Linked DNA regions of Arabidopsis thaliana. The protein of the gene in region 1 interacts with the protein of each later gene in a pairwise test. Each region holds a gene or a part of one and is shown in the gene's direction. Other genes may lie near its edges.

What was found.
Region 2: the proteins of MYB65 (region 1) and AT4G30180 interact in a two-hybrid assay, tested with the Arabidopsis thaliana proteins (one large-scale study listed by BioGRID).
Region 3: the proteins of MYB65 (region 1) and RAP2.12 interact in a two-hybrid assay, tested with the Arabidopsis thaliana proteins (one large-scale study listed by BioGRID).

Annotation. Positions count from the first base shown.
Region 1 is NC_003074.8:3,600,041-3,605,708, forward strand, and holds MYB65 (myb domain protein 65), read left to right. Parts: upstream 1-1,995; 5' UTR 1,996-2,165; intron 2,166-2,308; exon of another isoform or gene 2,309-2,489; intron 2,490-2,843; exon of another isoform or gene 2,844-2,950; 5' UTR 2,951-3,015; coding exon 3,016-3,387; intron 3,388-3,506; coding exon 3,507-4,515; coding exon of another isoform or gene 4,516-4,541; exon of another isoform or gene 4,542-4,608; coding exon 4,609-4,889; 3' UTR 4,890-5,132; downstream 5,133-5,668. Other genes in the region: AT3G11450 (DnaJ and Myb-like DNA-binding domain-containing protein), read right to left, coding at 5,419-5,668. UniProt on the Arabidopsis thaliana protein: Transcriptional activator of alpha-amylase expression that binds to 5'-CAACTGTC-3' motif in target gene promoter. In vegetative tissues, inhibits growth by reducing cell proliferation. Promotes the expression of aleurone-related genes (e.g.
Region 2 is NC_003075.7:14,767,043-14,770,271, forward strand, and holds AT4G30180 (uncharacterized protein), read left to right. Parts: upstream 1-1,741; 5' UTR 1,742-1,985; coding exon 1,986-2,462; 3' UTR 2,463-2,729; downstream 2,730-3,229.
Region 3 is NC_003070.9:20,133,129-20,137,513, forward strand, and holds RAP2.12 (uncharacterized protein), read left to right. Parts: upstream 1-1,715; 5' UTR 1,716-2,113; coding exon 2,114-2,408; intron 2,409-2,671; coding exon 2,672-3,453; 3' UTR 3,454-3,885; downstream 3,886-4,385. UniProt on the Arabidopsis thaliana protein: Transcription factor involved in the activation of hypoxic gene expression and in ethylene response. Partially redundant with RAP2-2. Acts as a downstream regulator in the ethylene signaling pathway.

The DNA of each region.
Region 1 (5,668 bases):
AAAGAGATAGATGTAGACTTTTATATATATGAAGCGATAAAGAAGAGCCTATTTGGTGTTTTCTCCAATGATGTGCATAAAATATATATAATTAACAAATTAAAAATACGTTAACTGAGATCTCAGATACTCAGGTCATTAGTACAAAGTACAAACGTCTAATAGAGGCCAATTTTGTCATCCATATTCAATTCAAACCATATCATTTGCCATAACCGTACCCATATATAGATATTTGTTAGTCTACAAAAGACTGTATAAATCGTTTTATCTTGTGTTCAAGCCATCAACTATGATATCAAATTACCAGATCACTCATGCTAAAGAATCCATCGAAATGTATTAAGTTTGTCGAAGTTCGTTACTCTATATGGTGGATTTTAAATATTTGATTTGGTTAGATAATTTTTAGTTATACCGTCAAATAAATTTCCAACTATTTAGTCAGCGAATTTAAAGATCAAACACTAATCATCAGTAATGGTTTGCTGAAAATCGTCAGAATTTCTTTTACTAGTGAGCAAGTTTTAAGATGAAATAAAAGGTGTGAAACGAAATAGAGAAAAGGTAGAGAGGGAAGAGACAAGCGTGAGACACGGAGAAGTGGAACTGATCTCTTTACGTTCCTCGTACGTTTACCAAGTTACACTGCTTTCCATATTTCTATATTATTATTCCCTCCATCCCTTTCTTCACATACTTTATGTAACTTCTTTTTAAAAACCAATTATTTGTATTCTAATTGATTGAATCAAATAGTTTCTATAAGACTATAAATAAACATAATTCGAATTCAAATTCGGCAGCGTTGAAAGATATATGTTGAACAATACATTACCACACTTATTAGTAGAATATATTTATTTCTAGAGTCTCAAAACATAAGCCAAAAAGCCGAAAGCACCTTTTTATCTTTGTGGGTTTGGTGCAATGGATCATATATATGGTACATTAGCATTTTTATCATCTTTCTCTTTTATCATTTTTCTTGTATTGTCGGGCTTGCGTCAGGCCTGTACTTATCTTCATACAACATTATTTATGTACATAACCAGAATTCAGGCCACAAACAATACGTGAGCTATTCAGGATCACGAGGTCCACGCGCTCGCTCACCTTCCTCTTTCCTCAAAGGCTTTAGCTAATTGTTAACTAGATGGAAAACAGTGCTATGGTTGAATTTTAACATATTGGTTACTACTATCTCAATAATATTTTGTAATACAAATGTCGGTAGATGAATTGATATACCACCTTCATGGATGATGAAGATCCACTTTTAAAGCCCAATTTTTTGTTTTTCTTCGATGCCGAAATCAATATGGGCACATGTGGATCCTACTATAGCAGTTCCTCAATTTGAGTTAAAAATCTTTGGGTTTTAGGCTTTTAGCCCAAGGAAAAAAAAAAAAAAAAGAACCAATTTTTATTTTTTATAATTTAATAAGAACCAAATTATTCATCATTATATACTTCTGACAACAAATATTTACTATGTATATTATATAGTGAAGAAGCTGTGACATGAAACAGATTCAAGCCAATCGTCTGATTAGCTAGAGAATCACTGTCATAATCTATTAGTTGACAAAGAATGAATGACACTAGTACAGTAGTTAATATGAGTGCGGATTCTCGTAATCTCAACGTATCTACGTCAATAAGCTCATTTATACATCATTAAATTAAAGTACAACATTCCAATTTATGTTTGGTGGGTTCCTTTTTATCAAGACGTATACGATTATACCAAACCTTTATCCATAATTATTTTTAAATGATACATTTCGTAAATATTAATATTACGATTATTATTTTTAAACCTAAAATCTTTGAATTTTATAAAATTTTAAAATTGATAAAAAAGATACGGGATTTTTTTTGAGTTAATTGATTTTCTAATAAAGATATTGGATTCTTAGTGTTTTTTTTATTCTATAATTTATTTATAACGCGGAAATAAAAAGCAAAATAATTAATTAAGTGAGGAGAGTTTTAATATTTTGATGTTTATTTCTAAATTCATCTCTTTTTTCCACTTCTGTTCAGCTCTGATGAATCTTCTTCCTCTGTTACTTTGATCTCTTTCTCCATCCTTGTCTCTGTCGATTCTCTGAGATATCTTCTCTCGAGCTTTTTCCCGCGTTATCTCTCTCCCACTCCTGGTAATATTTTCTTCTTCTTCTTCTTCTAGATTGTTCTTCCGTTACTAGCTCTTGAATCCATTTCCACGGATCTCTGATCTTCAATCTCTGTTTTCATTCTCTCTAATCAGTTGTTGAGCTTGATATTTTTAGCTAACGTTTTTCCGATTCAAATTTACGATTTGTGTGTTTTCCGATAACCAAATCGGATATCTTCAGCTCAAACTCGAGCTCCGATTTCGTCTCATGTTGTAGATCTCGACGACTTCGTATTTGTCTATGGTTTGCTGATTGTATTCAGATTGCTAGATACTCAATATAGAGCTTACTTTTACCTCAGCTAGGGTTCGTCTTTGTTGTACCTTTAGTTGCTGCTTTTTGATTCTTGTATATATGGATTTTGATTGTTCAATCGTAATTTCTGGTTCATTGAAAATCGATTTATTAGTATTCGAAATTGGAACTAAGATTTAGAGATTGCGAATTTGATACAGAAGTCATTTCAAAGTATCAGAGCTATAAAATGGTGCTTAGCTAGTTTCTGGTTTCCATTTCTGGATTTTCATTCAAATACGAAATCTATTCGTCAAAATGGTGTCACTAGTGTTCTGTAGAAATTTCATTACAGACTTTTAGTTGTTGCCTAGTATCAACTCATATCTCAGCGGTAGATATGATGAATCTACTAGACATATTTTTCAATTATCGCCTCCTTTTACAAGTTTATCATGTCATTATTTTGTTGATAACTACATGAATGCTGGCTGAAATATTAATTTGTCTCTTTTTCCTCTTAATTGGTTCAGGTTGGAGCTTGATGTCTAAATTGTTATTGAACTGCTGGAGTCTGTCTTGCTTTAAGTAGAAAGAGATGAGTTACACGACGGCGACTGCTGATAGTGATGATGGTATGCACTCCAGCATCCATAATGAATCACCAGCTCCTGATAGTATTAGCAATGGCTGCAGAAGTAGAGGGAAAAGAAGTGTCCTGAAGAAAGGACCATGGACTTCAACTGAAGACGGGATTTTAATTGATTATGTAAAGAAGCACGGCGAGGGTAACTGGAATGCTGTGCAGAAACACACTAGCCTGGCCCGTTGTGGTAAAAGCTGTCGTCTGAGATGGGCTAATCATCTGAGGCCAAACTTGAAGAAAGGAGCATTTAGCCAAGAAGAAGAACAGCTCATTGTTGAAATGCACGCCAAGATGGGAAATAAATGGGCACAGATGGCTGAACATGTAAGTAGTTTTGTAACTGCGGAAGCTACCTGATCATGGTCCATTTTCATATTTTGATATTCTTTGTGAGCCTAAAGACTAATTAATCTCTGGTATGATGTTTTCTTCTTGTTTACCAGTTACCTGGTCGAACAGATAATGAGATAAAGAATTATTGGAACACTCGTATCAAGAGGAGACAACGAGCAGGCTTACCACTTTACCCTCCTGAAATCTATGTTGATGACCTTCATTGGAGCGAAGAGTATACAAAGAGTAATATCATAAGAGTAGATAGAAGAAGAAGACATCAAGATTTCTTGCAGTTGGGGAATTCTAAAGATAATGTCTTATTTGACGATCTAAATTTTGCTGCTAGCTTGTTACCTGCCGCTTCTGACCTATCAGATTTGGTTGCATGCAACATGCTAGGAACTGGCGCAAGTTCTTCCCGGTATGAGAGCTACATGCCACCAATATTGCCTTCCCCAAAGCAAATCTGGGAATCTGGATCTCGGTTTCCCATGTGCAGCAGTAACATAAAGCATGAATTCCAATCGCCGGAACACTTTCAGAATACGGCTGTACAGAAGAATCCCAGATCTTGCAGTATCTCGCCTTGTGATGTTGATCATCATCCTTATGAAAACCAACATTCGTCTCATATGATGATGGTTCCTGATAGCCATACAGTTACGTATGGCATGCATCCTACTTCTAAGCCCTTGTTTGGGGCAGTGAAGCTGGAGCTCCCTTCATTCCAATATTCAGAAACTAGTGCATTTGATCAGTGGAAGACGACTCCGTCACCTCCACACTCAGATCTCCTTGACTCTGTTGATGCCTATATTCAATCTCCACCACCATCGCAGGTAGAGGAGTCAGATTGTTTCTCTTCATGCGACACCGGCCTACTAGATATGTTACTTCATGAGGCCAAGATCAAAACTAGTGCGAAGCACAGTTTGTTGATGTCATCACCCCAGAAGAGTTTCAGTTCAACTACTTGCACGACCAATGTTACTCAGAATGTACCACGTGGCAGCGAAAACCTGATCAAATCAGGAGAATATGAAGATTCCCAAAAGTATTTGGGTCGCTCCGAGATTACAAGTCCCTCGCAACTTAGTGCAGGTGGTTTTTCATCAGGTGAGTTGATCAAAGTTACTTGTTGATTGGTATCTTATCTACTCTTGTTCCATATTGATTCTTATGCAGCTGTGTTGGTTTTCGTATATGAAGCTTTTGCAGGGAATGTTGTAAAGACAGAAGAGTTGGATCAGGTTTGGGAACCAAAGAGAGTTGATATAACACGGCCTGATGTTTTACTTGCGTCGAGCTGGCTTGACCAAGGCTGTTATGGCATTGTTAGTGACACAAGCAGCATGAGTGATGCGCTTGCACTTCTTGGTGGTGACGACATTGGGAACAGTTACGTGACTGTTGGGTCATCATCAGGTCAAGCACCACGAGGCGTCGGGTCTTATGGATGGACCAATATGCCTCCTGTTTGGTCGCTGTAACAAAATGAACCATATCACACAATTTGAATCTTTCTGTATTTTCATGCACCTGGCTTACATGACTTGGTGGTTTGTTATAGTTGAGAGAAGATTTGTGGACTTGGTAAAAATTTGGATTTTCTTCACCTGATTTTTCTTATACTTGGAAGGCATTTATATATACTCATTTCTTGTTCCTGCTACTTCCATCATACTAGCTCGATTGGTTTTGTTTAGATTGTAAAGAAGCAAATCAAAATTAGGGCTTATTGTAGCCCAACCTCTAATTGGGACCGGAGACACAGCAGCATGAGCGATGCGCTTTATTTCACAACTTGAAACTAGACGCTAATCAAACGTTACATAAGATTATGTAAAAAACAACATACTCCATAATAGTGGCTCCAGCACTCTCAATATATAGAGACATCAAAGGGAAATGAATCATTACAAATAATAAAAAAGTTTTAGGTCTTGCTTCTCGCAAAGTAACGGTGCCCCAAGAGGATTAAAACCCAAAATTCTCATGGGACTCCGAAATGATTTTACCTCATACTCCGGTTTTCTTGTTTCTAATGATTTCCTTAAGCTCTGCAAACTTCTTCTTGCATTGGTTCATCGTTTTACCAGGGACAGCTGCAGCTACTCTCTCCCATCTTTGGCTTGTCTCTTTCGGGAATGTCTTTAAAGCTTGAACCAAAGCTCTTTCTTGCACAGTCGACCAACTATCTGCGTCTGAACTTCCACCTACTTCACCATTGTTGTCTGAGCTTTGACTGCTCGAGCTTTTCCCCACAACA
Region 2 (3,229 bases), on another chromosome or scaffold:
GGATTGTCAAAGGTGGAAAACCATTAAGCAAAATTCCAAGAAACTTTTATGATTATATGCATTATTGTTCAATGTCTACTATAGGTGTGAATGTCTAGTATCTATTTTGGTATCCACATCTATTAGTTTGCATCTCAATTTCTTTCTCCTCTTAGATTATATATATATATATATATATATCCAATATATATATATATATTATTTCGTTTGTTTTTAACTAGAAAATTCCTCTACCTTTATGTACTTTTATCTACTTGTATTTAGTAAAGTTTATAGATTAATTAATTTCATCTAGATGGGTTACCATTAACACATGTTTTCCACATTCAATCAAAGGTTATGGGATTGCATTAAAATATAATACGAGAAAACATCACATTCTAACAAAAAAAAAGATTATTTACAAAAGAGAAATAAAATTTCCTTGCTGCATTGATTGATAATCTACTAACCCTTGACTTTTTTTGTGTGGTAGGATAAAGAACACAACAAAACCAATAAGAGATCATTCAGTTTTGGCTATTAACAACAAAAGCTAGTAACGTGTATATTGCATGTATCAAACACTATAAGATTAAGAGACAACTTGTAATGTCTCAACCGCCCATGTTTAGTAGTTATAGATATTGTTTGGACATTTTATTGTTATTATTATTATTATTATTATTATATATATATATATATATATATATCTAAATGATTCGGTATATATTTTAAAAAATAAAAATAAAATAACAAATGAGTAACACCCAGACTTTCATATCATATCAAAGGTGACCTTTTGTGTCAACATAAACTATATTTATCTATTTACAAATCCTATAGGAAAAATTAAAGTCATCTTTAAACCTGGAATGCAATGATGCTTAGAATCAAAAAATCACGACTAAAAGTCCTTGACAAATAAAACGTATTAATAACCCAATTACTGACCACATGCATCTTAACTTTATGTTAATATGCGTAGTAAAGAAACTTGTATCTACGTCATATTAGTTACAGTGGCAGTAAAATTCAGTTTCAAAGATGTTTGTCTTGATATGTTGTACAGATCACCAATTGAACTACCACTAATAATAACTAAATTTCTGTTTAGCAAGTTACCATCTGTATCCAAATATCGCAAAAGTAGTGGGTAGTGAAACCCAAATTCATCACACATGCAGCATAAAAAAAAAGAAGGTCAAATGGTATATATAATATGAGGGAGATCTATATTAAGATAATATGGGTAGAAATGACATAGATTGATCAAACTAATTAGGAGATTGGTCCAAGGACACATACACATGCATACATGTATTATGTATATACAAAGTGTGTGAGTGAGTGAGTGAGAGAGAGAGAGGTTAAGAGGAAGGAACATGTGAAAGCATTAAGAGAAGGTGGGGTTTTGTATTGATGTCTTGTTCTTGGAATGGAGCCACATGGTAAAAGGGTCTCTCAAAGCACCTCTTTAGGGGTAGTTGTGATGCAGCCAAATTAGAGCTCTTGCATGTGACTCCATGTGTTTTTTCTTCCCTCACCCATTATTATTCCCAAATTCTTCTTTTCTTATTTTTCTCTCTTTATTTATGTATATATATATATATATATATATATATACACACTCTCTTTTTGTTTTCGTGTATTTTCTAAAAATAAATGTATTATACAAAAAAACATATATTAGTTGATGATATTCAAATTCCGTTGTTTTTAAAATATTTGTCTAAAAAAGAAAACTACTAACTACGACTTTCAAATAGTCTTGTGTTTTGTACGTGAACGAAAAATAATAACACTCCCAAACATATTACCTCATATATGTATACAAAGAAAATTAAGTTCTACAACTTTACTTTATACATCATCAACGCTTGTTATATACAAACAAACGTAGGACACCGCTCTTCTCTTTCTTTGTCTCTCTCATATTCTAAGTTTGCTATATATGTAACTTTCTCCCTTGTAGACTTTCATTTGCAGCAAAAATAGTTTCTCATATGGAGAGGCAAATCATAAACAGGAAGAAACGAGTGTTTTCTCTTGAACCAAACAAGAACCCTAGTGCAGTTTTCACGAGAAAATACACAAGCCACTTGGTTCCTGCACTCAAGAAGCTCAACATGAACAAGAACTCTTCAAAACAAACCGTGAAGCATGAAGTAGATATGGCTTTGGCTTTGTCTGCTCAAGAATTTGCATGGAGCCGTTTCTTGCTGCAGAAGCTATCGTCCTCATCGAATCCAACCACTACCACTAGTTCTTCTTCCGATGGAATTCGGATTCTTGAAAGACCCGATAAAGAAGGCGGAAACGAAGAAGGAGGGATAGAGGAGAGACTGAGGGAATTGAAGAAGCTTTTGCCAGGTGGGGAAGAGATGAATGTGGAAGAAATGTTGAGTGAGATTGGTAACTACATTAAATGTCTTGAGTTGCAGACGATTGCTCTCAAGTCCATTGTTCAAGATAGTACTTGACTTTTAGTTTAAGTGTATAATTTATAGTTTGTTTCATGTTTTTTTTGTTGTCTTTAAACGAAAATCATCTGTGTTTTTTTTTTTCTCTTGATTTCTTTAAGAACAAGAGCATGTATTATAGTGTTTTTCTTTTTTCCTTTTCTTAATTAATCATGGTTACCGAAATACCTAAAGTACCACACATGGCCGTTTATACGTACATCTTATAAAATTCGATCAAAATCTGATTGAAATTTAAATTATTGGTTGTAATGCCAAATAGACGATGTGCTGCCTAAAATAAAACTCTTATGTTGTCTTTTTTTCCTGAATTTATTATTTTAATGTTATGAGCAAATCTCCAAACTTTAATATTCTAATCATTTTAACCTGACAAACTTTGTGTTTGTGTATATATTTATATTCCTGCAAGTTTTTTTTCTCCTTTAGCGAAAACATATGAACTTTCGACTACAAAAAATCAGATGTAACAAATCTTCAATTAAATAAAAGCTACACATTAGTAGAGATCACCAATATGTTCCAGCTGCAGTAACTACAGGTGCACCATTAAAATGTAAACAAAAATTAGGACTACTGGACTAGAATTACTTTCCAAAAAATTCGATGAATATGAAAAACAAAACGCCGAAATTGTAAATATCTAAAAAGGAGGAAAGTTGGATGACATATGTGTAAACTATGAAAGTCATAACATTGATTTGAAGTCATCATCCATATCTTTGCACGTGTCTCACAGTCACTCGCACGCATCCAAATCTCTCTAT
Region 3 (4,385 bases), on another chromosome or scaffold:
GAGATATGACTCATATTTCATAACTAAATCTGATTAATTCGAAGAACATTTTAATATTCAGATTGGATCGTGACATGATGGATATGAACTGGATAAAGAATTATTTTAAAGAAGAAAATCTCTCTGATAAATAAATTATTCGATTTGCTTCTTTTTTTTTTATGTATGGGAGATATTTTAAATGTATGTGACAGGGACATAGACACTCTTTGGTTGAGAAGATATGAACAACTCATTTAGTCACGTGTTGAATATGTACAGGCCAAAATACTGTATTTTAAACAATTGGAATTATTGTTTTACTTGTCAAGTGATCACTTTGTTCAACCCAATTCCCCAACTAATTTATTGTTTTATAGTGTCACACTGTCACGAGTAACTAAGCAGGTTCGTGGTCTCGGCCCAATTAAAAGGCCAATCAATTAAACTAAATGCAAGTGCCTATAACTCGACCTATGAAGCCCACTATCTTAGCGATTCGGCCCAAAAAGACAACTTGCCTTGTGTAAAATGATTTCACTTTGTATCCATCCAATGATTCCAATTAATGAGAAGTTATGTTCAGATTTAAGAATTCCAGTTAGTGAACAAAAAATCAACTACTGGAATTTGTTTTGCTTCTTATAAATTTGGTTAGAAAAACAAAACATAAGGTTTATATCTATAAACACAAAGAAATTGTACTAATGTACAGTTCCGAAACGAGTATAGTCAATTATTAAAAGTTAAAATAGTGAAACAAATAATTGCTCCATGAATGACATATTGACATCATTATCTGTTTCTTTGAGATAAGCTAATTTAGGAACTTGTCTCAATCCTGTAAAATGATTTGGACCCTACCTATTTTATTCATCTGTCTTTCTTTGCGTTCACAATTTGATCTTAATATATAAATATATAGTACATGATTGCACTAATATATATATATATATATATATATATATATATTATATGTAGTATAACTATACACGTATGAAGTTGAATTTTATAAAATAAAATTTTCTTTTAACTGAATTTCCAATAGTTGTTTATACATAATTTAGAAAGTTGCAACCATAAAATATATTTCACCATAAAACAACAAAATATGGTTTCCACGTACACATACACATAACACATACCTACTGAATATTCCGTAATTTACGATGCCTGATAATTTGGACCTAATAAAGTTAGTTAAGAGTAAACAGAATTACAAGGAAATTTTAAATTGAGTTTAAGAAAACTAGTAATTGATTTGGAATGCTAGTTATCAAACAAAAGGACAAATATATTTTTCGGATTATTTTTAATAACTTTTTTGTTTGTCACGAAACGACAAAAGCTTTGTCATAAAAACCAAATCCTATCAACTTGCTCAAAAAGCTTCAATAATATCGTACGTGTCCTGCACACGCAGATTCATAAATGTGTTTCTATGCTTTTACAATTTTAGCCTTATGCATAACAGCATAAGGTCTTAATGGTCCTCTCTCCTAATCAAAATTACATTCAAAAGTTGTTGTATAGTTTTTCATTATATTTTCAATAATTCATTTATTTTGTGCCTATGTTAAAACATTTTCATAATTCATTTATAATATTATTTAAATTTAAATGTTAAATATCTGTTCTGCGTTGGCTACTCCTGAATGCAAACAACATTGCAAAAGTATTTAGTTGTGTTTTTAATGCCTAATCACATTAATAGATACTAGATCTAAGGGAAATAGACTTTATGAAAAAATCAATTGACGTTAGGTAAAAATTTGTTTAGACTATTTTTGTCTACCAGCAGACAACTCTGACTAAATTTTTAATCTTATTTACTGCAACTAACTATTAATAAACTAATAAAATCCTAATTTACAATATAGATCTACAGTAAATGAATATAAAAGTCTGGTAGTACCGTAAATAGTACATCAAGATAAGGGTATAATAGTAAACAACCATCGTACTCGCTTCATCTTTTATTTTACTCTAAAATCTCTTTCTGAAGAAAACAACAAAGCAAAGCGTTGAAGAGAGAAGAAGAAGCAAAGATATAACCCCCAAAAGTATCAATTAGTTTCCATTTTCGCCGCTAAGATTCTGTTTTCGAACATTTACACCCTCAAGAATCGCCGCCATGTGTGGAGGAGCTATAATATCCGATTTCATTCCACCGCCGAGGTCTCGCCGTGTTACTAGCGAGTTTATTTGGCCGGATCTGAAGAAGAATTTGAAAGGATCGAAGAAAAGCTCGAAGAATCGTTCGAATTTCTTCGATTTTGACGCTGAGTTCGAAGCTGATTTCCAAGGTTTCAAAGATGATTCGTCTATCGATTGCGATGATGATTTCGACGTCGGTGATGTTTTCGCCGATGTGAAACCATTCGTTTTCACTTCGACTCCAAAACCCGCCGTCTCCGCCGCTGCGGAAGGTAAATATTTAGGGATTGACTTTAGTTTGAGCGATTGAATTGGTTAGAAATTAAGTTTCGATTCTATTTAGCTCTGTTCATAGATACCTTTATCTGCTTACGATTTTGATTGTTGTATAAAGCATGAGGTTTGATTTGTGTGATATTTATATGCATATGAGGTTGAGTGATGAGACTTGATTTGTGTGATGAGATTTGATTAGAGATTGTTGATGAGTTATTTATAGAAGAACTCTTTTGTTTTGTTGTTGTTTCACTACTAGGTTCAGTTTTTGGTAAGAAAGTTACTGGCTTGGATGGGGACGCTGAGAAATCTGCAAATAGGAAGAGGAAGAATCAGTACCGAGGGATTAGGCAACGTCCTTGGGGAAAATGGGCTGCTGAGATACGTGATCCAAGGGAAGGTGCTAGAATCTGGCTTGGAACGTTCAAGACAGCTGAGGAAGCTGCTAGAGCTTACGATGCTGCAGCGCGGAGAATCCGTGGATCTAAAGCTAAGGTGAATTTCCCTGAAGAAAACATGAAGGCTAATTCTCAGAAACGCTCTGTGAAGGCTAATCTTCAGAAACCAGTGGCTAAACCTAACCCTAACCCAAGTCCAGCTTTGGTTCAGAACTCGAACATCTCCTTTGAAAATATGTGTTTCATGGAGGAGAAACACCAAGTGAGCAACAACAACAACAACCAGTTTGGGATGACAAACTCCGTTGATGCTGGATGTAATGGGTATCAGTATTTCAGCTCTGACCAGGGTAGTAATTCTTTCGATTGTTCGGAGTTTGGTTGGAGCGATCAAGCTCCGATAACTCCCGACATCTCTTCTGCGGTTATCAACAACAACAACTCAGCTCTGTTCTTTGAGGAAGCCAATCCAGCTAAGAAGCTCAAGTCTATGGATTTCGAGACACCTTACAACAACACTGAATGGGACGCTTCACTGGATTTCCTCAACGAAGATGCTGTAACGACTCAGGACAATGGTGCAAACCCTATGGACCTATGGAGTATTGATGAAATTCATTCCATGATTGGAGGAGTCTTCTGAAGAGATCCAGTTTCATGTAAATAAGGCTGCATGTTTGTGAGTTTCCCGCATCGTTCGTTTATCAACCTCCAAAACTTTCTAATGTCTGTTACTTGCATCTTCTTCTGCTGTCTCTGTCTGTCTCTCTCAGGAGTTCCTGTTTGCATTGCGAGAAGCCATGAGCCTCTATCTTGAGGGTAGTTGTGATGAAGTTAAGTAGAGGCTTATTTTTAGGGGTTGTGGTAGTTTTTGTTTTAGTGAATCTTTTGAATTCGTTTGTGTTTTGTTTTTGTTACTTTATGCCCCAAAACTCCTTTAACATTTGTCATAATGTGTTTGAACCTCTCATCTGTTTAATCAAATAAATCTTCTTTGTATGCTACTAAGAGTATGTGAGAACTGTTGAACATAACAAAGAAGTCACAAGCTAAGTTTGAACCAAACCGGTTCTCGTAAATTTGTGATCAGAAAAAAAGCGGTGATCAACTGATCATCAAAGTGATTGCCTAGAGAAGTGCGCCACTTTTGTTATTTTGTGGTACAATGAATCTAGAGGGAACAAACGTTGAAACGACGACGTTAAACGACAGAAGAATCTCTAAAGGTTGAACTCTCTTTTTGCAAGTGGTAACTGGTGAGTTTGTGTCTTTCTCGTGACCGTTTCCTTATGATAACAGAAAATAAAAGAGAGTAAATTAACTCTTCTGGACAGTTCTGCTTCTTTAGGTCATTTTCACTCTGTATAAATATCTAAGCATTAGCACACATTCTTTATTTTTTACTGAAACATATTTATATGTATTTGGTAATTTAATCTACTGATTTTTCATATAAATTGTTGTTAGTTACCGTATTACTGTCAAAATGTAGCCCAAAATGTAAGTGTCAAGGTGCTTTGAGTTGTGTGATGACAAGTTTGACATAACATTTGGTTTCTCCTATTATTGTGAAGA